Lepisosteus oculatus: one gene and its partners. Each later gene encodes a partner of the first gene's protein in a complex. Links are inferred from orthologs where the notes say so. Each region holds a gene or a part of one and is shown in the gene's direction. Other genes may lie near its edges. The genes, in order: sf3b2, snrpg, small nuclear ribonucleoprotein Sm D3 and cript.

Region 1 (7,789 bases):
TCCTTGGCGATGCCCCGGAGACCGGCCCCGCCCTCGACGATGCCCCGGAGACCAGCCCCCCCCTCAGCGACGCAGGGAGCAGGGACGCGGACAGGGCCCCCGCCGCGAGGAGGAGGAGGAGGAGGAGGAATCCGCGGAGACAGGGCCAGGAGGAGCGATCTTCCTCCCGGGAGTAAGTAACCCTCTGTGATCTGTTTGCTGCGGGAAAAGGAAATATCTGGGACTGCGGTCCTCACTCCCTGCTCCCAGAAAGTCCCCGGCCTGCTGCTTTTACAGGGATAAAGACTGGAGCCCATGTGACTCTCCAGGACAGGGAGTGATCTGGGATAATGGCACAGAGCTACACGGGAATATAGTGGGGTCAGCACAGGGGGTCACACTGCACTGGGGTGTCCAGCGGGGTCAGGGCTGGGGGTCACACTGCACTGGGGTGTCCAGCGGGGTCAGTGCTGGGGGTCACACTGCACTGGGGTGTCCAGCGGGGTCAGGGCTGGGGGTCACACGGCACTGAGGTGTCCAGTGGGGTCAGTGCTGGGGATGACCTCTCTTCATGGTTTTAGGGACCTTGGACAGCCCCGAGACGGTGCGCTCACAGACTCCAGTGCAGAATGCAGGAGCCACGAGAGGCCCCGGGTTCGAGGCACCCCAGGCAGGGCCAGGCCGTCAGAGACGAGCACCAGTGAGCACGCTTCTGAGACCGAGAGCGGAGCGCCGCCCCCTGCTGGAGACACAGGGGAACTGCAGCCGCCGGACGCCGGGGCTGGGGGGCGGGCGGGGGCACAGACGGAGGGGAGCGACCCAGGCGAGAGCGAGGCGGGGTCAGAGGTCAGCGGCGGGGCGGGGAGCCCGAGCCATCCCGGGAGAGGGGGGGAGATGGGGGGCGTCACCAGCGAGCGAGAGGGGGCGTCCGCAGAGGAGGGGTCCAACGGCAGCCCGAGTGAAGCAGAGACCCCGGACCGCCAGGAGGGGGGCCGCACGGACACAGGGGCGCCAGACGAGCAGGAAGATCCGGAGAGCGACGGAGAGGAAGAGGAGGAGGAAGAGGAGCGAGACAGCGAGGGGACAGACTCCGAAGACGGAATCGTCAGCTCCCCGCTGGGCGTCAGGTGCGAGCTCGGCCCGGACCACCCCGGGTTGCCCATTTCCCACTTTCCTCCCTACTATCTGTCAGAGGCAGCTAGCGCCCCCATCTGGTTCAGCACCGCCAGTGGCCCAGTGCCTCCTCCGCTCCCAGTCCACTCCGTGCCAGGTTTTCCCAGGAGTCGGCTCCCTGGTGTTGTTGGTGAATTGATTAATCCAACCATCCGTTTACCAATCGCTTTCCACACACGCACACACACCCACCAGGGCCAGTCCATCACAGGGCACGCACACACACACACACAAAAGGGCCAGTTTCCCAAAAGAAGCCAATTCACCTCCCAGCATGTCTGTAGACTGTGGCAGGAAACTGGAGCACCTGGAGGAAACCCACTGAAGCCCAGAGAGAACATGCAAGCTCAACACAGCTCCAGAATCGAACCCAGGGCCGCCCTCATTCATAAATCAATTACACAATTAAGACCCTGAGCCACGGCCCCTGTACTGTGGGGCATCCGGGTTTCGCGATCCCCTGCCCGTGTCCAGCTGTTGACCTTTCGGTGGGTCGATGTTGTGTTTTTCCTGAGAGGCGTGCAGGTCAAGCAGCAGGGATATGACCTGGGAAGATCCTGCTGGGCCAGGGGCAGAGAGCTCCTGCCCCCGGCCGGATCCACAGCTCACCTGGGCTCTTCTCCACCACAGCAGGGCGGCGCCAGAGAGCAGCGAGGGCCGCCGGGAGACGGGCGCGGACGCCGGCGGCCTGACGGGTGGGTCCCTCACGGCCACGGATTGATGAGATTGATGCGATTGATGAGATTGATGACTTGATTGATTGATGACTGATGATTGATGATTGATGACCGAAGATTGATGATTGATGACATGATCTACCGATGCCGTCTGGAAGTGTGAGGGTGCAGGTGCACTGAAAATGTTAACAATCTAAAACAACCTTTAATGCCACCTGTTTTTAAAGATCGACCTCGCGGTGAACAATTAAACCCCTGATTGGTCAAATTAACCAATTTAGGGATTATTGAGGACTGAGGACCTACGTCCTCTTCAGTCCTCAAGGACTGCGGTTCTCTTAATGGAATAAACCACTGGCTTGGCCATCAGGAGCTGACAGGCGTGTCCAAACTCTAGAAACAGGGGGACCTGTAGGACACACTGGGCTGGGGCTCCCCAGGAACAGGGCTGGAGACCCCTGATTCAGGGGGACCTGTAGGACACACTGGGCTGGGGCTCCCCAGGAATAGGGCTGGAGACCCCTGATTCAGGGGGACCTGTAGGACACACTGGGCTGGGGCTCCCCAGGACCAGGGCTGGAGACCCCTGATTTAAAAAAAAACAAGAATATTCACCACCAATGAGAAACCCTTTGGATCTTGTCCAGCTGTTTCTTCGACGACATGGCTGGGTAGCACTGTGTGTAACGTAGTCACTCCTGTTGTGATCCCAGGATCTCTGCTTCCTGTAAGAAGCCCGGGCATCGTCTTCAACACAAGACACAGGAGGAGGGGGAGAGGGCGGGCTGGGCCGTCCTGCTAGGTCTCTCCTTAGCAAAATAGCGTCCTTGCACTGAGCTGGTTGCTCTGTTTGTCACCCGACCCAGGGTCTGTGGTCAACTCCGAGGGCATCGCGGGTCAGCAGGGGAGCTCCGAGGAGGAGGAGGAAGAGGAGGAGGAGGAGGAGGAGGTGGGTGGGGGCGCCTCCAACGACATCAAGAGCAAAGGGGACGACGACGACGACGACGACGACAATGATGATGATGATGATGATGATGATGAAGATGACAGCGATGAGATCGAAGCTCTCCTGGCTCCGCAGGAAGATCCCAAAACGTCTTCTGGTCAGACGTGAGTGTCCTTCCAGCGACAGTCCACCTCCACGTCCACCAGCCTCTCGCTTCCACTGGCACTGGTGTGTCAAGTGTGTGTTAAAAGCGATGTTAGAATGAGGATTTACGTGCAGAATTCAGTTCCAGAGATCCTTCTGTGTGGAGTCTGTATGCCCCCCCCCCTCCCTGATCGTTCCCGCCAGCGCCCGCCTCAGTATCCGGGCGAATGAGCTCATCGAGGCAGCTCAGAGTCACTGACAGGGGCTTTCTCCTGGCAGAGCCGAGGAAGAGGAGGAGAGCCGCTCCGGGAGGAAGGAGGGGTGCCCGCCGCCTGTCCCTGCCGCAGAGGAGCGCCCCGGGGGCACGCCGGACAGGTGCGCGTGCGCTGGGGCTGGGGGTCTGACCGCACAGGAACGCCCTCTCCCGATCGAATCCGTCTGAAAGGCCACGGGCCATTTCAAGAGGTGTCTGCAGTCTGGGGAGGGGGGCCCCGCCAGCCCTGGTTTTGGGGAGACAGGTGTCTTGTGTCTCTCTCACAGATGGGGGTGCTGTAGCTCACAGTAACGGGGAGCTGCCAGGTCCCACCAGCACCAGGGAATGAGAGGCAAGTGAACACCTGTTCACCACCATCCACATGTACCATGTTTTACCCTGATCTCACTGGGCTCTACTGCGCTGTACTGTGTTTTTACCCCTATCTCACCGGGCTCTACTGCGCTGTACTGCGTTTTTACCCTGATCTCACTGGGCTCCACTGCGCTGTACAGTGCTTTTACCCTGATCTCACTGGGCTCCACTGCGCTGTACTGTGCTTTTACCCTGATCTCACTGGGCTCTACTGCGCTGTACTGTGCTTTTACCCTGGTCTCACTGGGCTCTACTGCGCTGTACTGTGCTTTTACCCTGATCTCACTGGGCTCTACTGCGCTGTACTGTGCTTTTACCCTGGTCTCACTGGGCTCTACTGCGCTGTACTGTGCTTTTACCCTGATCTCACTGGGCTCTACTGCGCTGTACTGTGCTTTTACCCTGGTCTCACTGGGCTCTACTGCGCTGTACAGAGGACCACAGTGAAGTTCCTGAAGTCAGTCAGTAGAATGATCTCTAAGGGATGTTTCTTTCTCTTGCACTTTCAGGGTGAATCACAGCGGCACTCTCACTGCCCAGGGCAAAGGTCAGTTCTGCTCAGTGGTAGCTTGCTCTTCCCCCCGAATGAGCCCTAGCTGTCCGCCCTGGCTGGTCAGTGACCGTGTGTCCGTCTCCTGCAGCGCTCCGGAGGGGCTCCGCGGACAGCAGCGATCCGGGAACCGAGGCTCCCGGTACCCCGAAGCCCGGCTCCGCGCCCCCGGAAGTGCCCGACGAGTTTGACGATTTTTTCGACTGAGAGAGAGGTGGAGAACACTGCCGCAGCACCCCGAAACGGGTCGGTCCTGGTCCTGGGGAGGCCGCCAGGAGCAGATGGTCCAGGACAGGACCGGACCAGACAGACCCTGCGGGGGCTCTGGAATGAGGAAGGGTCAAGCTGTTCAGAATAAACATCTGTCCACAAAAACTGCTTCAGTCAGATCCTTCGTTAGTTAATCAGCAAGATGGATGTATAGAACTGCGGTTGGGTGTTTCTGTGCATTGATGCTGTGTGTCAGTGTGTGAGGCCGTGCTGTGTGCGCGTCAGCATGTCTATGTGTCAGTGTGCGTGTATGTGTGTCAGCGTGTGTGCGACAGCGTGTCGCCGGGTGTTAAAAGATGCTTGTGACAGTCCCATTCTTCATCAGTGTGTCCGTGTGCTAAAAGATTATAACATATTTATCAGTATTACAAATCTCTAGGTTTTTTTGGGGGGTCGCTTTCATGTAGGTAGAAGAACTGCATTTGATCTGTTCGGAAAGTGACTCGGTTTTGTGGCCGCCTGCTAGAACTACAAATCCCACAAAGCCGCAGGACCGCCGTTTCCGGTCGCAGTTCCCATGATCCTCTGAGAGCGCTCGTTTGGTTTCCGTTCCTGCCTCGCTTGTTGTTTCTGTGATCCAGCCATGGCGACTGATGTACCGCCCGGCACCGAGCAAGCTCCGCCGGACCTCGGCAGCTCCGTTGCTGCCCTGAACACATGGAGCGTCCAGGAGCTTCAAGCCAAGCTAGCTGAGATTGGCGCCCCCACAATGGGTAAGTGTAAAGCGCGGGCTCCGTGGAGGGAGGGAAAAGGCCGAGGCCTTGCGCCGAAGCCTCGGGCTCGAGTGGTCAGTCCACCCGAGCAGGCCGGCCCCAGTGGCGGTGGGCGGGCGTCTGGGGAACCCGGCGTTCAGGTTGCTCGGTTCATTTCTGTGGCGTACCCTGTATCTTGTACAGAACCGCCAGAAACACCTCATTTCATTCAGGTTTGGCGCCGCGGAGTCTCCCGGTGAGCCTTTAGTTCATGAAAGGGGGCTGTGATATAAGATTGCTTTTAAAGAAATTGCTTTCGTTAGTTGCTTTAAACACCGGAGGCTTAACAGACCATCCGTTGATCATCTCTGTAGCTATTTATATATATTTTACGAGTCCTGCAGTTTCCCAGCTCAGCTGCAGAGCCAAGTGAACCCCAGACCTCGGCCCTGCAGTTTCCCAGCTCAGGTGAACCCCAGACCTCAGCCCTGCAGTTTCCCAGCTCAGGTGAACCCCAGACCTCAGCCCTGCAGTTTCCCAGCTCAGGTGAACCCCAGACCTCAGTCCTGCAGTTTCCCAGCTCAGGTGAACCCCAGACCTCAGTCCTGCAGTTTCCCGGCTCAGGTGAACCCCAGACCTCAGTCCTGCAGTTTCCCGGCTCAGGTGAACCCCAGACCTCAGCCCTGCAGTTACCCGGCTCAGCCCCAGAGCCAGTAGAAACCCAGGTCTCAGTGCATTACATACTCTATCAGAATTTAGGATTTGTTACTTAGACAGAACCAGTACACTCTCTCAGTCAGCCTGGCGGAATTGGGGGTACTTGTGGTTATCTTGTGCTGTGGCTGGGTCTTTGCTCAGTGACAGTTCTGAAGTCTGGACTGATGTTGTCTCTGTCCTCAGGCCCCAGAGAGGAGATGATTGACAGACTGAAGGCCTATGCGATGCAGGTGAGTATGTTCTGTCAGAAGTGATTGATACAGTGACCTGTCTCTCTCTCTCAGTTCAATTCAAGATGCTTTGTTGGCATGACCAATGAATACATCCGTGCTGCCAAAGCAAATACAATTAACATAAAATCTATGGATGTTTTCAGGAATTTCACAATACAGACCCATCTAAATAGTTACATGCAAACATCTGGAGCATTACTGGAAGACAGGCTAACTGTTCCTCAGGCTGGGACAGGAGGTCACACACTGTATTATTATTGAGAGACAGGCTCACTGTCTGTTCCTCGGGCTGGGACAGGAGATCACACACTGTATTATTATTATTATTGAGAGACAGGCTCACTGTCTGTTCCTCAGGCTGGGACAGATCACACACTGTATTATTATTATTATTGAGAGACAGGCTCACTGTCTGTTCCTCAGGCTGGGACAGGAGATCACACACTGTAGTATTATTATTATTATTATTATTATTATTATTATTATTATTGAGAGACAGGCTCACTGTTCCTCAGGCTGGGACAGGAGATCACATACTGGGCTACCAGTTCAACTGAGTTCCCTCCTCCCTCTCCCAGTAGGATTGGAAGCTATTGTGATTCTGGTAGGTGTAGGAACTCTGGGATTAGATTTGTAAATTTCTGGAAGAATGTTTCTCTAATCCCGGAGTATCTGTCACAGTGCAGTAGGAAGTGCACCTCTGTCGGTGTGGCTTGGGTCAGGGAGCCTCAGGACCAGCTGGCTCAGGGGGCTCTGTTTTGGGCTCAGCTCTTGGCTCAGCCGGGGTTTGTGGTGGTAGGAGTTTTGATTGGTGTTTTTTAGGTGTAGTCAATACTTTAATACTCTTTACTGTATGTTTATCAATAGTGGGTACTGTCTTAATTCGGCCCTGCACCCGTTGTTAGGTTTCTACAGATCTCCATGTGCAGAGTTTTTGTGGGGTGTTTGTCCCATTGAGTGTACTCCTGGTCTGTGAGGGGACCCCACACTTCACTGCTGTATAGGGCAGTGGGTTGGATTACACTTTGAAATATTTGGAGCCAGATTCTTGTTGGTGGGTTGGTGTTGAAGAGCCTCCTTCTTATTGCGTAGAAAGCCCTGAGTGCCTTCTCCCTCAGTGCCTTCACTGCCAGGTCAAAACTCCCGGAAGAGCTGATAGTCAGACCGAGGTGTGTGTAGCTGGATGTGTGCTTCAGTGTGTTGTTGTTGAGTGAGAAGTGGTTCTTGTTTCCCTGAGGCCTGGCTTTCTTGTGAAAAACCATGACTCTGGTCTTGTCCAGATTGACTGTTAGTGCCCAGGTCTGACAGTCCTGCTCCAGCAGTGCCAGGCTCTGCTGTTCTGGGTCTAGATGGGCTGGCAGTGCCCAGGTCTGACAGTCCTGCTCCAGCAGTGCCAGGCTCTGCTGTTCTGGGTCCAGATGGGCTGGCAGTGCCCAGGTCTGACAGTCCTGCTCCAGCAGCGCCAGGCTCTGCTGCAGCCCCTCCCCCTGACGTTGTGTCTGCCGTTCCAGACGGGGATGATGCTGACCAAGCCCACGCTGCAGGCCGGTGACGGAGATGTGGTGGCCCCCCTGCCGGCCCAGGTGAGTGTGCCCAGGGTGCGGGAGGGACCCAAGCAGGGAATTTTTAAGCGACTCCCCGATAATAATGTTGCCCTTTCTGCCCCCCCCCCACAGATGCCCGGCCTGCCCATGCCCCCCATGCCTCTCCCCCTGCCCCCTCCCCCTCCCCCGGGGATGTTCCCGGCCCTGGGGATGATGGGGGTGCCCCCGCCCCCTGG
Region 2 (7,208 bases), on another chromosome or scaffold:
GGTTGACGGGACGCGGGACACAGTACTGGTGTCTGCATTTCCCCGTAAAGAATACGCGACCCTCGTTGCATAACATTTTGATACATTTGGGGGTTTCGCAGCTTCGTGCCCTGATTGACAAGATGGTGTTTTTTATACAGGCATGTTAATTCTGGTCTGCTTCTGCTTCAAGCGATTTCACAGAAGGTTGCAGACGTGAAATTCGCAGGGCCAGATGGTGTTAGTGAAGGGTTCGTGTGAGGGCGATTAAAAACTCTGTGATGGGAACTGGAGGGAAACGGTTTATTTCTGAACAGTCACATTTACACCTGCTGCCCGATCTCTCCTTTTTTTTCCCTAGTCACGTTATCCCGTAACCCATCCGAACGCACAGAAAGTTATATTAACGCAAACCTGTCTGCGAAATGAAATGGAGAATTCCTTTTAACTCAAAAATACTTTTGACTGCGTAACTGAATAAAACAACAATCACAGGACCTAAGCTTTGACTGACAGGATTGATACAGGATTCTACCGCTGGTAACAGCTGGAATTGTTCAACCTGTAGTACCACGGGAGTGTCTGCGTTTCCTGACTGAGACTACCTGTAAAACTGTGTTTATTACTGTGGGAGGCTTAGGAGTGTCTCATTCGACTTCATTCGGATGCGGTGTGAAGTGTGGGGTGCTGTCACGGTAAACGGGGGCTCGGAGAAAGATCCTCCGTTGTCCGTTTCTCTCGTGGGCTTCATGTGGTGTTTGATGCCCCGCGTTCTGGCTGCCTGTCCTCCCCAGGGGCTCATGTTCCAGTGCAGCGCGCGGTGCTGCGAGCGCGCCAGCGACTCCATGACCCAGGTGCACCAGTGCATCGAGCGCTGCCACGCCCCCCTGGCCCAGGCGCAGAGCCTGGTCACCACCGAGCTGGAGAGGTTCCAGGTGAGACTTTCCCAGGAGGCAACGTGGGTGTGGAGGTCGCTCAGCGCTGCCCCCTACAGCCCGGGCTTGACCGCACAGCCTGGAGTTTTTAATATATAGGGAACTGAGAGACAGAACTCTTTAATGGAGCACCGCACATGACTGAAACTTGCATTGATCTCTAATCATATAATAATGTCATGAAGTCTGCAGAAGGTAGAGCAATGCAGAAAAGAGCACTGAGGAGTCCAGCTTTGTCACAGTGCAACAGACTGTAATAAGCTTTGCAAAAACAAAGGCTTTCATTGCATTATGTAGTATTTGCTAATGTTAAACAGAATAATAATTCAACTTTATTTGTCATTCTACTTACACGGGTGCATAGTATGGTGAAAAGTGTTTCTCATGAGTCTCTCAGGTGCAGTATATAAATAGAACAGCAGACAAGACAAGAGACAGAAATACAATAACAGTGTAAACAACAGTATGGTGCCATTGCAAAATTGTCAAAAACTGTGCAAATACGCAGAGAAAAGTATACAAACAGGACAAAAACAGTGCAAAAGTAAAACGGTGAACAGTGCAAAAATAATACGGTTATTAATAGTACAACTTGTACAGTTTTAAGTACAATTCCAGTTTACATTCAGTTGTCGTGTGTGTAGTGGTGTAGGAGTACTGTCATTGTGGGTACAGGAAGTAGTGAGGAGAGGTCACATTTTTCTGAGTGTAATTTCAGGTGTTGCAAACCCCTTCCTGCTCTGAGCTGTCCTGCTGAAAGCTGCTCTGTCTCTCTCTGTCCCGCCTCAGGACCGGCTGGCCCGCTGCACCATGCACTGCAACGACAAGGCCAAGGACGCGTTCGAGTCGGGCGCGAAGGAGGCGGCGGTGCGCGGGCAGCTGGAGCGCTGCGTGGGCGGCTGTGTGGACGAGCACCTGAGCCTGCTGCCCAGCGTGACGCGCCGGCTGAAGGACAGCCTGGCCTCCATCAAGCAGTGAGGACGGGGGCGCTGGGAGCCGGCCCGGGGGCCATCTGGGCCTGCAGCCGACAGCGAGGCCAGCAGGCACGGAGTGGGGACACGGACTGGCCGGCGGCGCGGGCCTTCGGCACAGACAGAGGGCGCGGACCGCCCGGCGGACTGACCCCTGTCCTCCCGAGGACAGGTGGAGTGGGACACCCTGGCTGTGTCAGACCGTGAAGACAAGCGGATGAAACTTGGGACTCCCCGTGCATAGCAGTTTGATCCAGTCCGGGTTTTACCACCTGCCGTCTCTAGTAAACATAGAAAATGAAATCTAGACAGTTTTCATTTTCTCGTATATTCATGTCTGTCTATGTTTTGCAGACTGGAATTAAAGTAGAAAGGAGAGAAGGAGTATGGTAAAACTTGAAATGGATCTTATTGGTACCTCTGTGTTCTTCGTTTGTCAGGAGAAAACCATGAGCAGCTGTGAACCACTAGAGCCAAGTTTCTGCACAACTCTCTACCTCCTCCTGCAGGGGGTGCAATTGTGGCTTCAGTTTTACACACTGTGGAATTTGCTGCTGACAGCACTGTTTCCCTTTTTGTATTGCAACAAATCAAAATCGGGAATAAAATCAGTTTTCTCTGTATTCTCTTAAAAAGAGAGACGGTGTGTCTGTCTTCAGGCTTGGATTGTGCCTGTTTGTCTGTATTTGGGAGGGTGTGACCAGAACCGTGTGGCTGCTGAGTGAAGATTATTATTTCCACCCTCACAGTCTCTCTGAACACAAGTCACTGCAATTTGAGCCCTATGAGCTGAGCTCAGAGCTATTGGCATGGTGGGGTCGAGACCAGAAAGCCAGTGTCACATGAGTGTGTTCGATGCATGTTAGCATTAAAAGTATATAATCCCTTTGAGTGTCCATAAGGAATGAGTAGTGGATAGTTCCACTTTTAACAGTAACAAAAAGTAATGTTTCATCTGTGGATCCTTCTTCAGCTGTGTGTCTAGATATGTAACTAGTTGTTTAATAACTGTAACCCTAGAGGAATGTGTGGAATTTCTCTATGCAGAGTGTTAAATTCATATAATTTCTAGAACAACCCCATCGGAGAGGGTCAAGTGAGAAGCTTGCTGATAAGGGTTCAGTGTTCTACTTGTGTTTATTAAAGCCCCACCACACCACTGGATTTAGTTGTCTGCATTTAAGGGGAGGTCACTAAATGAAGTTGAGATCCATTCACTGCTAGATGGTTGAGCTGTTTACCACCAGCACCTTCACAGAGATCCCTTGTCCAAGCCCAGAGAATGGCCAATCTCCGCTGGCCAGCGAGGAATGAAGACGCGTATGAGTGCTGGTTTGTGTTGGTATGCTGCAGTGTGAAATTCAGATCTTCCATGCAGTGCTGTAATTACTTATTTAACAACTACCTTCATTAACAAGTTCTATACATACCAAAATATTAGCAATTAATCTACTTTGCATAAAACATTATGCACAATAATTGACAGAGCCTAGTTAATGTGAGGTTTGAAAGGTCTTTAGAAGGTGTCATAGTTATTATGGAATCCCACATACAGTATGTGCTTTCAGACACATCCTTGTCTGTGACCTCTGACCTCTTCTAAAGTTCATATGCCAAACTGGTATATCTCCTGAAAGAGTGAAGTTTTCACAAAATGTCCTTGCCCATGCCCTTTGACCCTTCCTAAAGATCTGATGTACAAACATTCATTCTTGGTTAATATATTTAGAATTATGGGCAGCATATAAACATCCTTCTTTGTTCTGCCAAAAAATTGCTAGCCAGTAACTTCTACTCTCTTTATTTTCATTATGCTTTCTGGTTTTCCAATCTCTATGAAATCAATAATCAATCACTTCTATTGAGCTTTCAGTGAGAGTGTGCTATCTGGAGAACTCTGTTACATCCGCACCTAGATTTGCTACCTCTTGCTACAGTTTGCCCTAACTGGACCACCGGTTAAGCTACAGCGCGGCACTTGCTGTCTTTAGGAAAGCTCTTTTTAAATAATATGATTTTTATAGCAGTATTGCCTGCCCAATTATTCATTAGGCTTGTTGCCTGTTCGGCATGAACAGGTATTTATCGGTCAAGAAAATCTTTACAATCAATGCACCCATCGTGTTCTTGCTCGTTTGCAGGATAGTATTTCCAGTTTCAGGAGAGAATGCGCGTGAACTTGGGTTGCCGAGAGGAGGCGCAAATGGAAAGGGAATATTCAATTAAACGGCGTTGGAGTAGTGGCAGTGTTCGGGCGATTGTTGATGACGCATAATGTGAGCCGGAAGGTATGGTCGGACTTTTTTTATGGTAACGCGTTCGTCCTTTGTGGTGCAGCGTGCGTGGAGTTTGGCGGTGAAGTCGCTGAGAGCGCAGTGGTCTTGTTATTGAACGGATATAAAACTATAGCTTTCTACACGTAAACATGAGCAAAGCACACCCCCCCGAGTTGAAGAAGTAAGTATTTCTTGTTTTAGTCTCGTAGGGTCATTTGTGTCTTTCGTTTTTATCACGGTAGTTGTTGGATCTTGGGGGGGGTTGTACTTGGCTGAGATACAAACTTGAAATGTTTCGCCATTAAAACTAGATAAAATATTCTGAAGGGCTCCTGTAGTTCCGTGATATTTGGATCTGTTTCCAACCGTGGAGACGACGTTAATATTTCTCATAAAGAATTGTTAATACGTTTCCGACCTCGCTTCGTGAACCGAGTGCAAACGTTATCGTAACGTTTGGCTTCGAAAATAGTGTCCACACAGCGTTATACATCACAGCTTTCGGTACTGTGTATTTTCTAAAGCGTTTGTAACGTGAGATTAGATTGTTTACCCCGTAATATTAAAAATGCCGCGTTAACGATCCTGATAGGTCGTGAATGTATAAGCTTGTATACTTTTGCTTTAGAAAGATCGACCTGTGACGAAAGCTACCTCTGCAAACCACGATTATGCGCACCGAGAAAGTCCCACGAAAACTGATTGACTTGCGCGAGACTCGTAGAAAGTAACTCTAAAATAATAATAATAATGTAATGGGTTTAATTGGTTTTAAGGTTTTAAAACGTAATATTAAACAAGCTACAATTGTCAGTTGCAGAAATCATGGACGGACTTCCGGTTTTGCACCTTTAGTACTCTATGGTGGTAGATGAAAACTCGCGCCAAGCTGTAGATTGCAGGAGAGCGTGGAAAAGCCTGTTTACATTTTCATTGCATAGGTTGGGGACGCTATATAGGTCACTGAATAACAGATGTATAGCAGCTAGCTAAACGTGATCTTTTTTAAATATTATTGAGCCTCTTAAGATCGCCTTTAAGGTTCATTGCTTTGCTTAATCCAAAACAGAATCTGGAAGCGATGCCTTTAAAGGTTTGTGGAGGTTTAAGCGATAATGCTTTGTTAAATACAGGCAAACACGTCCAGTAGTGTTGTTTCTTGGGAGGGAAAATATTTAAAACAATACAGCTTGAGAAGTGTACAATTAAACCATTATTTGTGACATTACTTTCAGAATGTATGACCAACAATCACATACACATGAGCAAATGCTAAATTCCACAGAATATCAGTTACTTTTACTTACGGATGCTCCCAAACGTTATAAATACGGTCAGAGTAGGGAATGATAGCAGGTCAGTCTATATTAAACAAGTCTTGAAAATATGTCAATAATGTTAGCTTATGTTTCCTGCATAAGCTAACATTTTTCACATGTTGGTTTACATGATAAATCCAGCATGTTTTCTATAACATGCCACAGGTCGAATGATGTACAGACTTTGTAGAACATTTTTTTTTGTATTGAATCTAACAACTTTTTTTTTCCTTTTTGTCCAGGTTCATGGACAAGAAGTTGTCATGTGAGTATGTAGGGTTTCAGTTGCTGAACTGAGGTGTTTGGACCCCTCCCAGGAGAAACTTGATATGGTCTGATGAACTGTCCCTCACCATGTTCTCGACTGACAAGTGCATGTGTGATGCCATTGTAAAAGATTACAGCCATCAGTCCTCAGTTCCAATAGTGAATTGATCCATTACCCAGGTGTTAGTTGTATGACTTTCACATGGAAGGGTGGTGCTTCAGTCCTCCTGCAGAGTTCTGGGCAGTGCCAGTGACTCTATGCTATGCATACAGGCTGCACATGGTCACTATTAGTGACTTTAAATTGTTCCCATTTTTATTATCCACATCTTACATTTTATGATGACCCAAAACTGCACTAAGGTGAGATAGGAAGGACTTTTTCCAGTAAAAGCTCTGACTATTAACTAACAACAGTGAAACATCTAGCATGCAGAGAGGGCTAATGAAAAGCTAAGGGTTGCAAAGATGAGTACCAGTGATAGATTGAGAAAAATGGTTAAAAACATCCTCTCCTAAGATGTTTTTGCATGCACTGCTAATATCACCATCGTCCATGATGGGGATTACAGATGTGCACAAGTATAGACCTAGAGGAAAATGTGTCCTTTGCTGCCATAATGTTTCACATCCAAAAATTATCTTGGAATTTATGAAAGCTAAAACCATTTAAATTAAACCATATGCTTTAATATTTATAAAAGAACTAATCATCATTCTTGAAATATATACAAAAAAATTGTGTTTTTTGTTAACAGCAGGTATTTTTATTTTAAATAGGTATGTATAAATCAGTGGCTCTTCACCACTTAAAGACCTCTTCAATTGAGATTCAGCAGGCTGCATTAACATTGATTAAGCCAGTAACTAGTTCTATTAAACCAGGAGTCCAGGGGTGCTGGTGTCTTTGAGGGTTTTCAGTCTGCCTGGGCTCTTAGTGATCCTAAATGGCTCATTAATGGTTGAATTGGAGCAATTATACAGCTGTTGCAACCAGTTTTTGGTGGTGCTTTAAAAAGACCTGTAATACCAGCAGACACCCCTCAGGATCAGGACCTCCTATTAAACGTTTACAGTCCAAGTCAGATTGAAAACCCATAGTTCTCCAGGACTGAGATTGGATAGCCCCGTGTTAAACATGTAAAATAGGGGTGTCGAACTCCATTCCTGGAGGGCTTAGTCTCTTCTGGTTTCTGTTCCAATCTGAATAGTCAATTAAACAAGTTCATTATTTTCCTGGACATTCCTAAGAATTTTCTAACTGCCTTTTAGTATTGTTCACTCGTACCTTTCACAAAGGTAGGGTTACGTTCGAATGACCTCAGAGGCTGGTTAGAGGTGTTTCCACCCTGCAGTTTAATATTGGAGGATTCAGACAGCTGTGGGTGGAAGAACACGAACCAGAAGACACTGGCCCTGCAGGGGGCGAGTTGACTCCCCTGATCTAAGAGCCGAATCAGA
Region 3 (7,822 bases), on another chromosome or scaffold:
AGCTTTTTCGTGCCTCCTCAAAGTTACTTACGCTGGTATAACACACTCCTGCAAAATACACAAGGAATTTTTTTGTCACTGAAAGCAAATTTCCTTGGATGCAGTCTGTGTTTCAGAATGCATGGAATACATTCCTGCAGTCCTTCAAAACCATGATCTTTCAGAAAGACATTTCTTTTGCTCTGCTATAATGGAACTATTTCATATTCCAGTTCTTACCACTAATCAAATCAAATCTTCTTTAAGATCACAGGAAATGAATTTTTAAATGTTATCTTCCATAAGTATCCCACTCTGGCATCAAAGCAGAGTATGTGTTCATACTCAGAAATTTTAGAGAGGATTGGATTTATAAAAGTTCTGTACTACTTCTAAGAAACACAGGAAAGACAAAGGTCTTGTCATTCAAAACGGCAATTCAATGAAGACCATGACACATCGGAACAACTTTTTTTCCCCCACAGTTGTTCCTTACTGTGGCACTCTTTTTCCATCTTCCCAAAGGAATCACTTCAAGGGGAACTCACTGTCTGAGTAAGCTGGGTTGTTGTAGAAGACAGAGTTGGTGGCAAGGTTGAAGCCACACACCACCACAAAGTGCCCCTGGTAGTCAGGCTTCCTGCAGAAGCACTTCTGGCCCACAGGAAGGAAGCAGCAATACTTGACAGGGGTGGAGCAGAGGTCACAGACCAGGAGCACAGCATTCACCAGCACTATCGCCACGTGCCCTTGAGCCAAGTGATTCTGGATGTCCTGCATCGTCACAGAGCTGTAGAAGATCAAAATCACTCCTGTTACAGGCTAAATCAACTAAAAAAAATAAAAGCATTGATATTTTCTTTAAACCGGACATATGTACTCTAAATCTTGGGAAGCTCTTCTACAATTCATTCCACATGCTCTCTTAACACCTTCACCTAATCTCTTATGGCTTGAATTAGTCCAAATTTCCACTGTATTCAGACGTTCGCCTTTGTTAATCTCAGAGAACCTGCAGGACCAGGGGAACATACAGTTTTCTTGCTTTAATCCCACTTCAGAATAAGGTGAAATGTGAGAAGAACATCAGCACTCACTATCCGGACGTTTACCATGTCTAACATTAACATTAACAGAGTTTAACGTAGAAGTCATTTTCAGGCTTGTAGTTTTATTCATAAGACTGTGGTTAAAGTTCTATTAGGGAATGGCCATTAAAAGAAAAAACACCAAAACAAGTTGGAAGCAGGTGGCACAAGCAGACAGAAGAGTGCATGTTGTAAATGTCATTGTTTCTCTGACATTTGCAGGTGTCTTGGAGATGCTAAGTAGACAAATGAAAATTCTATTTTCCTGCTGAAAGCAAGAACACAGCAGATGTAAAAAAAGGAAAGCAAAAGGACACAAAATGATAAAATACCTACCGTTTCTTCACCACCACCCCATTGCTCTCTGCCTTGTTAAAGAGCTCATTCACTCTGTCCTCTTCGGTGTCAAAATGCTTTTTGTAAAACGACTGGGGAATCAGAGGGAAGCTAGTCAATTACTTACATGTAAGGTTAAGTATTACATGACTGTTCACTTTTCGCAGGTGTGTCAAGGAAAAGGACCATAAAATTAAAGAACTCATGGAACTTTCCAAAGGAATAGAGGTGGTTATCCATCTGTCCTACCAAAATACTACTTTGGGCATGAATAATCTGGCCGTATAAAACTACTCTCTTAATTCAACTGGCAAAAAAATGTCACTTCTCGCCTGCTCCACCTGGGGCTGCTGGCTTAGAATGGCTGCAGTGTGTCTCTCAGGTGGGGGCTACACTTCCGTAGCAGAGACGTCAGTCCCCTCCTATATATATATAAAGAACTTTGATATCCTTTTGTAATGAAAACATCTATATAAGTGTATTAAATTCTTATTAAAGCACAATAAACATTTGTGACAACACCTAATGGCCCACTGCACAGTAAATGAACCAGTTGAGCTATTTGGCCAGAGTGCCTACAGGTAAACTGGATCCACTACCTAACCGAGTTACCTTAGCACGAAATATTCCAACCTATAGAGGTCTTTAGCCCTATAGTTCACACCAGTCGGACTGTCAGGAAAGTGCAGAGTTGGCCAGTACCTGGTTTCTGTAGCCCTTATCTACCCCAAGGGTCTGGGTGCAGAACTGATGTCTGACTCCCAGGTGGCTCATGAGGTAGGCCAGGTCAATAGTCCATACACTTTCGGTCAGCTTGAGCTCCCAGCAGGCATTCTGAAACTCCTCCTCACTCACTGGGTGGAGGTACCTACACAGTAACGTCAGGGGGCAATAAAACACAGCACTGCTGCAACCACTTCCTTATGTTCCAATAGCAGTTTGACCCATTGCAAGCTTTTAAAACTGCATTGTTAGTTCACAAAACTACAGCTGCATGCCACACATTCGCACTAAGAGCCACGACTCTAGCTATGCGATGAGCTAGATTTCCAGTTAGGCAACATAAAAAAAAACAATCATCATAAATTAAGAACAATAATCATTTTCATCACCACATTTTATGTTGTAAATGCTACTAAAGTTCCAGTCCATTCTGAATGTAGTCTACAAAATGTTTTTCACTGTCTTACTTACTTCAAAACCATTCTGGAACAAGCCAGCCCACAGTCCCAGTGATAGAGCTGCCGAATGGCAGGTACTTTCAGTTGAACAACACCATCTAAACAAATAAAAGGGCCTTGACGTGAATATACTCAGATATTACACTTCTGGTGTGTTACATAAAAACATAGCGATAAAATAAACACTGAAAACATGCAACCCTATATTGGACAAAGTGGTAAGAAATTGGATGGAGGAAATGTTAAATGCACCTACTGTAGCAACTAAACTGCCAAACAAGCAATATGGTCAATTGTTTCCTTTTATGCAGTAATACATATATAATTAGGGATCGTCAATGATTTCAAATTAGAAACTGTCTAATCCAGTGATTCCTAACCCTGGTACAGGAGAAACACTGCTTTTTTTTTCCTTCCAACTGAGCTCTATATCTCCATATCTCTATCTGACTTAACAGATCTGCATGCTTTTTTAGCAATTTATTTATCTTGTTTCTTTGTCTTGAATGCCACACATACCCTACTGTAAGGGTACTGTTTCCAACAACTACAGCACACAAACCTGTATGCAGTCTGTTCTCAAATTGCCGTCTAACTAATCACTGGTTGATAATGAACAGACACAGGTGGGAGTGAGAGTTTATCAGACATTCCCAGAATAGGCAGTTTTATTTTTCTTCTGCAGGAAGGTACAGTGAGTACTTCTCAGGCAGCACACACGCACGACACTCAGAAGTCGGTACGTGCTTGATACCAATTACGAATCCCATTTGGTATTTTAAGAGCTGAAAGCACATTTCCAAATGCGCACCGAAAACAGAACTGAAATCAACTACCTGCGATAAAATACACGGCTGGAGAAAAAAACACGGATATGAGCTACTCTTATCACTGAACTAAACTGTAAACACGCTGTACGGAGCTGTGTCAATCGGGATAGAGGGCTCAGTCACGGATGTTAACTCCATTTACGTGACCGGTGAATAAATGTACCTACCACGCTACTGTACGACCCAGGGTTTATTTACAGTTAATTCGATAGTGGTTCGTGTAGTGTTTTAACTTGTTTTACACGCAGGACAAGAAGTGCATAGCAGGTTGAAGGACATCTGTGCTCAGCCGCAAAGCGAACTTCTGAAACCAGTCACACCACTGCTCCTCTTAATTTATTTTCAGATGCCTGACGAGAAACAGTCGTGTACATTAAAACACTTAACACCTGTGGTAACAGGGCCCGCAACACCTCGACAGCACGACGGGACCTTTCCTGGAGCCTCGAAATCGTTGAATATGTTAATTTCCAACAAGGGCTGATTTAAAACAAAAACAAAGCGGGACCATCCCAAATCATCCAGTTCGTCGACACGGAGTACTACGCTAACGCTCCATCTTACCTGTCATTCTGTGCTGCTTGTTTTTTATATAATGCTGTTAAGTCCTTTTCACTTTCTGCGCACGATCTGGCGATTTTCAGAGAGGAAACCGTCTCAGCACCACGGCGCTGGGTCTGTTCGCCGGACATGAACATTAGGAGCCACAGTTACGACCCCGGTCCGGGCCGCCTCTCTCCGGCACTACAGTGCTGATCTGCTGGGCACCTCTGCCTGCATCTCCGCCGTACGCAATTTCCTCTTGCAAAACGAGGACTTCCACAGACGCTCATTTGAAAACCGCTGCGCCTACAGCGCCCTCTAAACACAGTCAAGGAGGGACGAGAACTAGAATAAATAGGCTGTTCTTATAATATATTGTACTCCAGTGTACTACTCGTGACAGTAGATGGTGAGATATTCGGGGCGATCACAAATTATTGGGGAGCAACTTACAACTGGCTATTTCTTTTTTTATTTTAGTTTTGTTGGGTAGCTGCTTAGAGCCATTCTTAAACGTCACAAAATCAAGTGCATCTTCAACTTGTTTTTCTTTCCTTTTCAGAAAAAGAAGGGGTTTGGAATAAACCCAGCAAGTGACGAAGAAGAAGGTTTAATGAAATAATAAGAACTTATACATTGATGAGAGTTACTGTATATCTTTACAAATGTTTTTCGTAGCACAGTAAAAAAAAGTTGGAGCAACAGAACATGTTTCCTCCTTGTGTGGTATTTAGTAAAAAGAAAGCCCGTTATACTTATTTTCATTCTTGAGAAATTTTAGAAGACGTTATGTTGGTTAAACTACAAATCCCAACATTCATCATAACGACGGAAAAACCCAAATCGAACCGGAAGCACTTTGTGACTTCCTTTAACGCGTTGCATTGTGGGGTATTGGAAACGAACAAAATCGTACTCCGAGGCGGTCAGGTTTTAAACACGCTGCCGTTCACGATTAAAACCGGGAAACGGTTAAATAAGAGAAGGAATTCAATATTTGCTGTGAACAGGTAAGAATTTTATGTTTCATTACAAGTTGTAAGATATTACCTTTCTTTTAACGAAGGGAATCAAGATTATGAGTTCGTTGAAGGTAGGAAATGAACTTGATTTGAATGGCGTGGAAATACTTTACGTTAGAAAACAAATATACCTTCTCCTGAAGTATTTTCTCCCAGATGCAAAACAAAAACTTTTTTTTGCTAATGAGATGGGTTTTTTTTTTCCCATAGCTAAAGCTACCCAAGTCTCTTTGGGCTTTGCCATAACACAAAGGCCGTGTCGAAGTAGAGACCGTTTGTTCTCATTTACTGCTTTGAAGAATATGTTTCGAAAGTGCAGAATATCTGCTTCGAAGATTGTTTTAGTGAATGTTGCTTAACGCACTGGTCTATTATCTATAAAAAGAGTTGCCTAATTTTTTTTTTAATCTTGTGAAGTGCACATTATCACATCTATTTTGTAAAATGTATGCTAACAAACTGTCAAAAAAGTTAAAAGTACTAGTGAATTTTGCTCTGGGGTCCATCTTGATCACTGATAGTATATACCAGGTTAAATCAGATTGCTCTTTAGACTCGAACTAAACATGCGTACCTATGAGTAAATGCATCCAGTATCCAGGTTTTGATTCCTTTGTGAACAGCTAATGGCCTGCTTGGTCCATACAAACCCTTTACAATTGTCTAAATTCAAAATCTAATACTCGTTACTGAATGCATTTTAATCTTGTTACCTAATAACAGGCATTTACAAAAACGTGTGATGTGTAACCTTAACTTGTGTACAAACTGAGCTGCAGGACAGAATCTAATTTATCGGGCATGGGGTAGAGATGCTGGCTTTTTCCAAGGTATCCAGAAGCATGGTTTTTGTGTGTTCTAGCCTAATATTGCTCACCTGGAATTATTTGCCTCCCTGTCATGGTGTTTGTTTAGAGGTCCCAGTTAAAATGTCCATCGGAGTGCCTATCAAAGTTCTGCATGAGGCCGAGGGTCACATCGTCACCTGTGAAACCAACACGGGCGAAGTGTACAGAGGAAAGCTTATAGAAGCAGAGGACAATATGAACTGCCAGGTAAGCCTGATAAGTGGTTGAGATGAGAAATGCCAGGGGTCACAAAACCAAGCAAACCTTTTAGGCCAGTGACCCCATATAATTTCACACATTATGTGCTTTTGATGGATTCTTTGAATTAATCTCATGCAGAGTTGTGCACATGCAAGTGAATTTAAAGCTGCTTTTTTTTGTCTTCCAGATGTCTAATATCACTGTGACATACAGAGATGGACGTGTGGCGCAGTTGGAACAGGTCTATATCCGGGGCAGCAAGATAAGATTTCTAATCCTGCCGGACATGTTGAAAAACGCCCCCATGTTGAAGAGTATGAAGAACAAAAACCAGGGCTCTGGAGCTGGAAGAGGGAAGGCTGCCATTCTCAAAGCTCAAGGTATGTTGTTCACCAGACTCCAATTCAGAGGACAGTTCTCCAGGTGGTGTGTTTCTGTAGAGGACTTCAGCGTGATCAGCAGAACCCTACAGAAATATCAAAGTTATTGGTTTTTATTAAATTTATTCCTTAGCGTCCATCGTACTGATGACTGTCTTGAAATAAAGTAACGCCAGCTAGAAAGTGCTCTTCGATCACCACCTGCTGACGTGTGCATCGTTACTTGGTTCTACACCTACGTAATGACCTGGGTTAAAACTCCTTAGGTTTAGGTGCATGGGTTAAGGCCTTCATTAGAAGTAAGACATTCGTATCAGGTCACGTGGCTGCTAATAAGTTACTGATCTGAGGGGCCTGTCATTTCTTGAACGATGGAACTTATTCCAGAGCAGCAGTATTGTTGGTAATCTGTTGATCGGCATTGCCAGTTAGTGCAGCTTGTTTGCAATTATAGGGTGATTAACACGTACTGTATATTGTGTCCACTTTTTTCTTTTTAAGTGGCTGCGAGAGGAAGAGGCCGCGGGGGAATGGGAAGAGGAAATATTTTCCAGAAGAGACGATAACCCTCAATGTGCACTTCATGGCCTTTTCTTACTGTACAGTTTTTTTAAAAGGTTGGGTGATCATTCACGATGTTGTCTGTTAAAAGGCAAATCATTTTTGATTTTTTTTTTCTGGCAAGTTTTTTAGGTGCTCAATAAAAATAGGTATAATGTCCAGTGTTTGTGCAGCTCCTTTACTTTCACATTTTAACAAATCAATATTCAGTCAGTACTGTCTTTAACATTTGATTTACTGCAGTCGAATCTACATGAAAGGGGCAGCTGTTTATGTAATTCAACATATTGATCCTCATAACAGCCTTTAGGTTTGGTCTAAAGATGATTTTCAACTTCTGTCACTTTTGTACTGACTTATAATGAAGTTTGTATTGTAAGAAATGTCGGGTTTCCATTCAGTCTTGTTTCAAAAACATAATTCACCTTATGAGCTTCTCCAGAATTGATGCATTGATAAAATAATGTCTAGTGGACAACATAGTCTGGTTTTGTTTTAATAGTAATTCATATCTTTGGCCGTTAAATAAAAAACTTATGTTGAACATGAGTGCAGCTGTGCCTTTTTTTTTACTCTTCAGGTTTCATACTTTGTTCCCAGTGATCTGCTGGTGTTTCAGTTTTGTGTAATCTAAATCTGGCAGCTTACACATCTTCCACTCTAGTGTCTCTGAAGCTCCCTCTTAATTCAGCTGAAGCCATTTCTGACTCCCCCACCTGATCTGCTCTGTAGAGGAGCTGTTGGTGCACATCTACCACTTCTCTCAGGTGGGTGCTGCTCTTTGGCAGTGGGTGAAGTGCACATTCAAATATGCAGAGTGTGTTGAGGTGAAATGTTATAGAAATCCAATACA
Region 4 (7,478 bases), on another chromosome or scaffold:
AGTCAAATCAGGAAGGAGACTGTGAACCAGATCTGTCAGGTGACCACAGCCATCTGGGATGAGAGGGAGGAAACTGCAAAGTCAAGGACAACTAGAACCCTTTCCAGAAAGTGCGGTAAACAGCAGGCAACACACTGGGCCAGAGCTGCCCCAGCTTCCCCTCAACACGTTCTTAACTGTTCACACCACTTCAGCTGGAGTCATCCAACCCGCCCTTTACAGAAGCTCTCGGCGGGTGAGAGTAATTATTCACATACTTATGTAAAAGTGAAATTTTGGAGTAGTAAGAAAATTGTGCTTCAAAGCTGATCTGTGCTGAGAAAATAAATGTTAAATAGCATCAAAATATGTTTTGAGCAGAGTAGAAATGCGGTAAATCCAGGAAAGAGGAGTGAAGACGGACCTCTTCTCTACTGCCTGCTGCAGCTTTCCCTGAAACCTCACAACAAGGAGAAATTAAAGTCAAGCAGCGGTGCTTCACTTTGAAGTACTCAATCAGCCAATCAGTACATCTCTGCTTCTCTCCATTCTAGCTAAAGAATCAGTTTAAGTAGCTCTGACTGGCAGCTAGGCCTAACCGGACAAAAAATACCACACTGCCGTCAGCAGCTTGATAAGTAGCTCTATTGATTTTTAAACTTCAGCTTTTAAGATTTGGAGCACCTAAAGCCTAAGTTCAAATTAATACATTTTAATGATGTTTCCTTAGTCTTAAGCCCCTTTTGAAAAAATGCAGAAAAAATAAAAAGTTTTAAAAAAAGATAAGGATACAGAAAATTAAACAAAATCCTAAACTACAATATTGTGTATTGTGTATTGTGCCTTTCATCTCAAACCAACCTTACTGAACTATATGATATACCATCCTCTCAGAAAACCATTGCCTTAAATAATGCAGAACTATTCCTTAAAAAGCTCTTGTCTGAGTGGGGAAATGGTAGTCATGACATTTTGTATTCTCCTTCCCCAAAACCATTTTCCACAGAAACCACTGAAACAAATTTACAAGTGCCAGCGCTTCACTTGCAGTAAGATCCCAAACAGGTTCTTGATAACCATTTCCTCTTACTAGGACAAGTGGCATTTCAACACAACCCCACACTGCTTTCCAGTCTTGCCTGTTATGCAATCAATCTAGTTTTTCATTGTTCTCATTTACGCTAAGTCATCTAAGAAAATTCTGTGAAACTGTTATCTTCAGGTTTTAGAGGAAGAAAATAATCAAGTTAATGGACTTAGGGTAAAGAAACAATCGTGGCATTAGAATTCCCCCTAGTGGTAGATTTAAAAATGACACACAGCCACACTACTTTTTGCAAAATATTAATTTCTTATTTCACATTGATGAGATAAATGAAAAACACACTACAGTCTTATATTATAATACTAAAATGAGTATGTACTCATCACATATGTCAATCCAGGAACTAAGCTTATCTGCACACCACTTCACAGTAGGCCATGTTCTGTAAGTATTAATGTCAGCACTCCAGCAGTCCCATGCAGAGAGGCTATATGGACTCTTCCTGAATGATATATACCGTGCATACGTCATTCGTGTTACAAAGCCGTCAGTACTGAAGGTAAAAAGAAAACACGACGAGGATTCCTCCCTTCATTAGCTCCTGCACACCAACAAGAAACTGCCAGTGACATTACACTCAGAAAGAAATGGACTCTTCTCGCCCTGTGGATAGGTTTTGTTGTATTCTACAGAAGGTAGGACACTAAAGGTCCTACAGTTACAGTAAATTGTACTGTTTACTATATATAAGCCCAATGACTTATATAAAAACACTTAATATTATTCTGAAAAATACTTCATAGAAATTCTGACATGCTCATGCAAGTTCAGCCTATTTATGCACATAAGCTCCTCCACTTCTAAGCTCTCAAACTGATTTATCTGATTGTGAGTAACAAAAGGGACTGCTTTCTGCATACTCCGGAAAACGGTACTTCCCCTGCAGAAACAGGCGGTGCGAAAGTCAGAATAAGAGACGCACCCATCCCGACTGAAAACACGAATCCAGGCCTGGACGTTAGGCCCCAGGATGCAGAGACAGCGCAGGGTGGTGAATGTGGACAGCAGGACAGCAAAGGAAAAGGTTTCAAGCGCAGACCTGGAAAAGAGAACACATATCCTAGCAAGGCACACCCTGTCCTTGCAAGAAAATAGGTCTTTATTTCACTTATGCAAAGTGCTATGATTTGTGGGTAAAACACCCTGCTCTTGGTCCAGGAATGTGTGTCAATTCAGTCAGGAATATTACACCCGCTGCTCAGACAATATTTAAGACACTCTAAAAGGGTTTGGATTAGTTTCAAGCTGGGATCCGGTGGGGCACTTCAGACCTCAGCAATTACTTTTCCTAAACAAATCTCAGTCACACCAGCAGGATGCAATGAAACAAGAGAAAGACTTTCAAAAACATCACTGACTATTTGACTCATATGTCCTGATGTGAAACATGAACAGGCAGAGCATTTTAGTAACAGGACAAACTATTCCTAGTGACTTGTTGTTAAGTACTTACTCCAGCAAAGGTGCTCCATACAGGACAACAACTGTGTGGAACAGGAAGCAGGATAATATGAAATACAGGCAGGACCTGAAGGCTTTAGACACCTATGGATAAGACCAAACAGGTTTAATAATTACCCACTATATCTTTATAGTGTTTGCTGGCTCGGTTACCACAAAATGATATATGTGGAGACCAATGCAATTCAATGGACAAGCATACAGAAAACCACTCAAAGCTTCTAGTCCCTATATCAACTATAAGTGCAGAGTATTTTTATTCATATAGTTAATCTCTAGATTCATATATACCAGTTATTCTAGTGTTACTTCCATTTTAAAATTAAACTGCATTAACTGAATTAAAGGTACTTTAAAAAGATAACTGAAAACATTTAAAAGTTGTATTGGGTTGTGCAATACCTGTGAAAGCAGGCTGATTCTGCAAAGAGAAGAAAGTCTCCCTCAGACCTCACCTTGTAACTCAGAGTATTCTTCTTAGATGGTGGACTGATGCCCAGCAGCCAATAGACAGTGATGTTAACAGCAGCCACAGCTCCAGAGACAGAATACAGCCACACAAGGTGTGTGCCATAGACTGAAAACCCATCCACAAACAGAAGGGGCAGTACTGTGGCCATCAGGACAGAAGCTGCCATGATGGTATGGGCAGAAATCATTCCCTTGATCTCAATATCCTTCATGGTGATCCTAGGTGATTCCAGGCTGGAAAACAAGCACGCAATACTACCAACTTCAGGATACTTAAATCAGTTCAGGTCTGGGGAATATCAGGAGTTTAAGACTGCTTGCTAAGGTACAACACTCAATAGTAACATCCAAAAACAGCTGACAAAGGCCTCTGTATAGTGTTGGCTATCTGTACTCAAGAAGACACGTGGTCACCTGATTTCAGTTCCATCTGTGTTCTCAATTTTGTCAGAAATTATTATTTCCTTAAAACTCTAATACAGCTGCGTAAAGAAAACTTCCAGTGCAGAGGACACAAACTCAACTTGGGTTTTCGGAGCTGCGAATTCTTACTGTATACAAGCAATCACCAGGTTCTGTATATTAGCTAAGTGTTTGTACCTTAGTTTATCTAAATCTGCGTAGAAAAGGTAAAAATATTTAAATGTCGTTGGTACAAAAGATCGGACATTTTCAAAATCAATTTTAATGTAAAAAAGAATAAAACTGCTTTACACCACGTCTATATCCGTTGAGGGATTTGTGATCAGCCAAGAGTAGCTGAAGACGGGCGGCCAAGGCAAACCTGACTACAAGTTTCTGTCTCAAACCGTCACAGTGTTCAGAAACTTAACATACACGGGGAACCCTTTTGTAGAGGTCTGGCGTCTCCTACAGGAGCTGCAACTTTTCAAAAGTTATATTTCATCTTTAGCATTCTTCCAAGCCCCGGTAAATCATCAAGTATCAAATCTCTACCGTTCCAATTAAACTTAAAACTGCAAAAAACTATGCACTGCGTAAGAAACTGCAGACATTATGCCTATAAAACTGAATAATCAACAAGAGAAAATAGGATCGTAATTATATTTTAAGAAATGGCTTACCCTCTAGATGGACGGATTGTTGCTATATAATATCATTCAACGTTGGAAAAAAATAATAAACTACTATATACATCAAGCGAATGAAAAAAATCTGAATTATTCTCAAGAACACGTAGCCTCTAAAAGGTGTTTTTCCATTTTTTTAGTCGTGGTGCACAAATGCACGACAATAGCCCACAACAGTATCATTCATACCTGATTTCCGTATGAAATATATTCTGCGCAAGGTCAGTACAGCGTAAACAAGGACGTGGGGGGTGTCACGGCGTGTTTTGCTTGACGTACATTTTGCCCAATCAAACAGTTGCTTCATACCGATTCCCAATCGCCATCCGAGTGGGCGGGGATAAAGTCTAAGGTCACTACCCACAAACCCTGGGAAAATGCAAAATATTACGGCAGACTAGCCGGAAGGAGTAAATTCTTTTTGAGACGCATAAACACCCATATATTTTATGTGTTTACTATAATATGTAGAGTTCAGTAGTTTATTTCTGCCATGTCAGTGGACGTCGTAAAGCCGGTGGTACAGGAATGACGCAAAGAGGGGGTTAATTACAGTCGAGGTGCATTTATTTAGTTTGAAGTATACAGTACGCACTCTTTCTGAACGGAAGGACGAGACGGGAAGTTGTCACACGGCTCTGGCACCGGCAGAGCAGATAGTTTGTTTTCCTTTTCTCCGCTGTAGGTGGATTGATTTTCTTTTTTTCTCGTTTTAAGAGAGGAGAAAGATGGTTTGTGAGAAGTGTAAGTGGTTTCGTGACTTTGTTATAGTTGTCTCTGAATACAGGTCGCACTGATCATCTCTCCGTGATAATCGTAATAATCGCCAACACTGGGACGTTGCTTCGCTGTTTACAATTTGTGCCGCAGTGGAAATGCTAGAAAAAATAGTCACATAACCAGTATATCCATTCATTTTTAATGTGAGGCAATTGCGATTGTATACTATTTTCTTCATTTCTTTTAGTTTCCTTTGTACTAGGCGTTTGTAGGTATTACTGGCAGACGTCCTGTCGTGTGATCTTAAACGAAGAGACGGCGACTCCGCTGTTCATCTCTGGCTGAAACTCTTTGTAATTTGCAGGTGAAAAGAAACTCGGCCGTGTCATCACTCCGGATACATGGAAAGATGGAGCCAGAAACACAACAGGTACCCTAACTAATGCACTACGCTACACGTAAGCAAATAAGAAACGGAGATTTGAAGTGCAGCCTTTGAACTCAGATACGCAGTTAACAGAGATCCTTTTCCAACACTGATCAATTTCTGGATCTGGATGTGTCCGTTCCCCTTCTTGAACTCGGATACATTCTGAGTACTGCCAGATCTAGGTTTTCGGTCACTTTCTAAGGGTTTTCAAGACGTAGATCACTTTTGCAGTTGATAATGGAGTGTTCAGCATCTTCTGGAACAAGATGTGTGCTCCACGAATAATGGGGAGTAGCCTAAAACATCATTACATTAGAAAGGTTGGGCATTAATCAACCCACCTTTGTTTCTTACAATTGCAGAAAGTGGTGGCCGCAAGCTGAATGAAAACAAGGCGCTTACTTCTAAAAAAGGAAGGTAGGTGCATCTTTTCATTAAAAAAAATGGTTCACATTTGTATTTTCTATGGAAATGTACATAGTGCTTTTCATTCCAAAATTTGTCACATATAGAAGGTGACCCACTTGATTTACTGCTGAAGTGCAGCACCCCGGGTAAAATGCAGCTACCATTATGTGCGCCAATAATATCAATAGTCTTGCTGACACCAGTGGAGAAACCATCAAGATAGCTTGTCTCATAAAACTGTGTGCTCAGGATTCTTTGAGTCTTTAGCACAGAACTACTAAATCCAGACTTTCATTGTTGGCATATGTGCTGTTTATTTGTAGATTTACCTTAGTAGTATACAAGCTAACCTTATGTGTCTTTATCATGTTTTCCTATCTTTTGTTTTAGGTTTGACCCCTATGGAAAGTCCAGATTTGCGATCTGCAGGATTTGTAAAAGCTCAGTCCACCAGCCTGGTTCAAACTATTGTCAAGGGTGTGCCTACAAAAAAGGTAAGAATCCAGCTACTTATCTGGGCATTGTAGTAATTTAGGAATGAAGCAGGTATGCAAGTCATCCTAGTAAATGTTTGTTGTGGAAGTGTGAAAACCTGTGGATTCTAATAAGTCTCTTGTTTTCCTAGGCATCTGTGCAATGTGTGGCAAGAAGGTTTTGGAAACCAAAAACTACAAGCAGACCTCAGTGTAGTCAATCCATCAAATTGTTTATGAAAGGAGTTACGGGGACTGCACTGGTCCAGCACTGGTTATTCTAGAGACAGAGCTGCATTGAGCTGGTTCTTGCATGCTGGGCTTGCTCATGGAAAACAGACGCTCAAAGCCATGAAGAACCACTACAGACAAAGCTGTCTCCGCAGTGTATTTTTTAAAGCCTTGTTTCTATATTCAAAGGTAGTTCTCTTCTGCTCTTTGAATCCAAATGTTAAATTAGCTTTACTTTAGGCCATACTTAAATATATCCTGTAAAACAGCAATATACACAAGTTGATGACAGCGGCTCTCTAGTGGGTGGGATGGTATCCTTTCATATCTGTAATAGTGATCATGCTTTATTCATTACAAATTACATATTGACGTTTTTGTTTTATTACAGTTAAGTGTAATGGTTACAATTGCAATGTAACTGGGTTTCTATAAATATTTTTTGCTATCTGTAGTTCTGTAATTTTTTAGTGATTACTGACTTACAAGACTGTTAATGTATAAGGACTTATCAGTTTACGTTGTGCTACTAAGATAAAAACTCGTTTGTAATAAAAGCTTTTAAAGGGAAGATAGTTGATCTGGAAAATAAAATAATTTAACTTAAAAGTTGTATTTTTTCAAATTCTCAGGATTTGTTATTTGAATTTTCTTTCCTGCACGCAGACATGGGTTTCCATTCTAGCCTCTAGATGGTGCTATTTCCGTGCTGAAACTTTGGCATCTCCAGAGCTTTAACTTTTAGTTGGAAATATATAGTGACAAGGTCAGTGTACCTTGGTGAATCACGCTAAAGGTATACATGTTGACATTTAAATACTTTTTTTGCCCTTAAGGTACATTTTCCTACACAATATTTCCATGAATTGACTTCTTGCTCCTCATATTTTAGTCCTACGCAATAACTTAAGGGTGTGGAACAGAACATCATGTTGATTACAAACCCCTTTACCTCATATTAAGCTTCTTATACAGCTATGACTCCCTTCATGTTATGGAAATTAAAACTTTGCTATTTGTTGCAAACCCCGGTCCCTGCTTCAGGCGAGGGCAAGAGCTCCCACGTACTGTGATATGATGTGGCCCTTCCTGCTCTCTAGTCACTGGAA

Evidence for each region.
Region 2: sf3b2 (region 1) and snrpg share a complex: the UniProt entries of both Homo sapiens proteins name them as parts of the minor spliceosome. The link is inferred for Lepisosteus oculatus from reciprocal best matches to the Homo sapiens genes SF3B2 and SNRPG.
Region 3: sf3b2 (region 1) and small nuclear ribonucleoprotein Sm D3 share a complex: the UniProt entries of both Homo sapiens proteins name them as parts of the minor spliceosome. The link is inferred for Lepisosteus oculatus from reciprocal best matches to the Homo sapiens genes SF3B2 and SNRPD3.
Region 4: sf3b2 (region 1) and cript share a complex: the UniProt entries of both Homo sapiens proteins name them as parts of the minor spliceosome. The link is inferred for Lepisosteus oculatus from reciprocal best matches to the Homo sapiens genes SF3B2 and CRIPT.

Annotation. Positions count from the first base shown.
Region 1 is NC_090713.1:22,561,967-22,569,755, forward strand, and holds the start of sf3b2 (splicing factor 3B subunit 2), read left to right. Parts: upstream 1-4,779; 5' UTR 4,780-4,950; coding exon 4,951-5,080; intron 5,081-5,959; coding exon 5,960-6,006; intron 6,007-7,520; coding exon 7,521-7,592; intron 7,593-7,685; coding exon 7,686-7,789. Other genes in the region: collagen alpha-1(I) chain-like, read left to right, coding at 1-172, 561-1,106, 1,678-1,847, 2,696-2,939, 3,199-3,294, 4,057-4,094, 4,189-4,304. UniProt on the Homo sapiens protein: Component of the 17S U2 SnRNP complex of the spliceosome, a large ribonucleoprotein complex that removes introns from transcribed pre-mRNAs.
Region 2 is NC_090697.1:65,205,933-65,213,140, forward strand, and holds the start of snrpg (small nuclear ribonucleoprotein G), read left to right. Parts: upstream 1-4,191; 5' UTR 4,192-4,310; coding exon 4,311-4,342; intron 4,343-5,722; coding exon 5,723-5,745; intron 5,746-7,208. Other genes in the region: protein FAM136A, read left to right, coding at 774-914, 1,704-1,892. UniProt on the Homo sapiens protein: Plays a role in pre-mRNA splicing as a core component of the spliceosomal U1, U2, U4 and U5 small nuclear ribonucleoproteins (snRNPs), the building blocks of the spliceosome.
Region 3 is NC_090717.1:9,777,552-9,785,373, reverse strand, and holds small nuclear ribonucleoprotein Sm D3, read left to right. Parts: upstream 1-4,821; 5' UTR 4,822-4,967; intron 4,968-5,894; 5' UTR 5,895-5,908; coding exon 5,909-6,034; intron 6,035-6,215; coding exon 6,216-6,408; intron 6,409-6,909; coding exon 6,910-6,974; 3' UTR 6,975-7,516; downstream 7,517-7,822. Other genes in the region: protein GUCD1, read right to left, coding at 1-48, 528-769, 1,404-1,495, 2,106-2,271, 2,598-2,682, 3,979-3,985. UniProt on the Homo sapiens protein: Plays a role in pre-mRNA splicing as a core component of the spliceosomal U1, U2, U4 and U5 small nuclear ribonucleoproteins (snRNPs), the building blocks of the spliceosome.
Region 4 is NC_090712.1:13,353,804-13,361,281, reverse strand, and holds cript (cysteine-rich PDZ-binding protein), read left to right. Parts: upstream 1-4,478; 5' UTR 4,479-4,835; coding exon 4,836-4,851; intron 4,852-5,191; coding exon 5,192-5,257; intron 5,258-5,619; coding exon 5,620-5,674; intron 5,675-6,055; coding exon 6,056-6,159; intron 6,160-6,290; coding exon 6,291-6,355; 3' UTR 6,356-6,978; downstream 6,979-7,478. Other genes in the region: pigf (phosphatidylinositol-glycan biosynthesis class F protein), read right to left, coding at 2,007-2,123, 2,538-2,629, 3,001-3,228. UniProt on the Homo sapiens protein: As a component of the minor spliceosome, involved in the splicing of U12-type introns in pre-mRNAs. Involved in the cytoskeletal anchoring of DLG4 in excitatory synapses.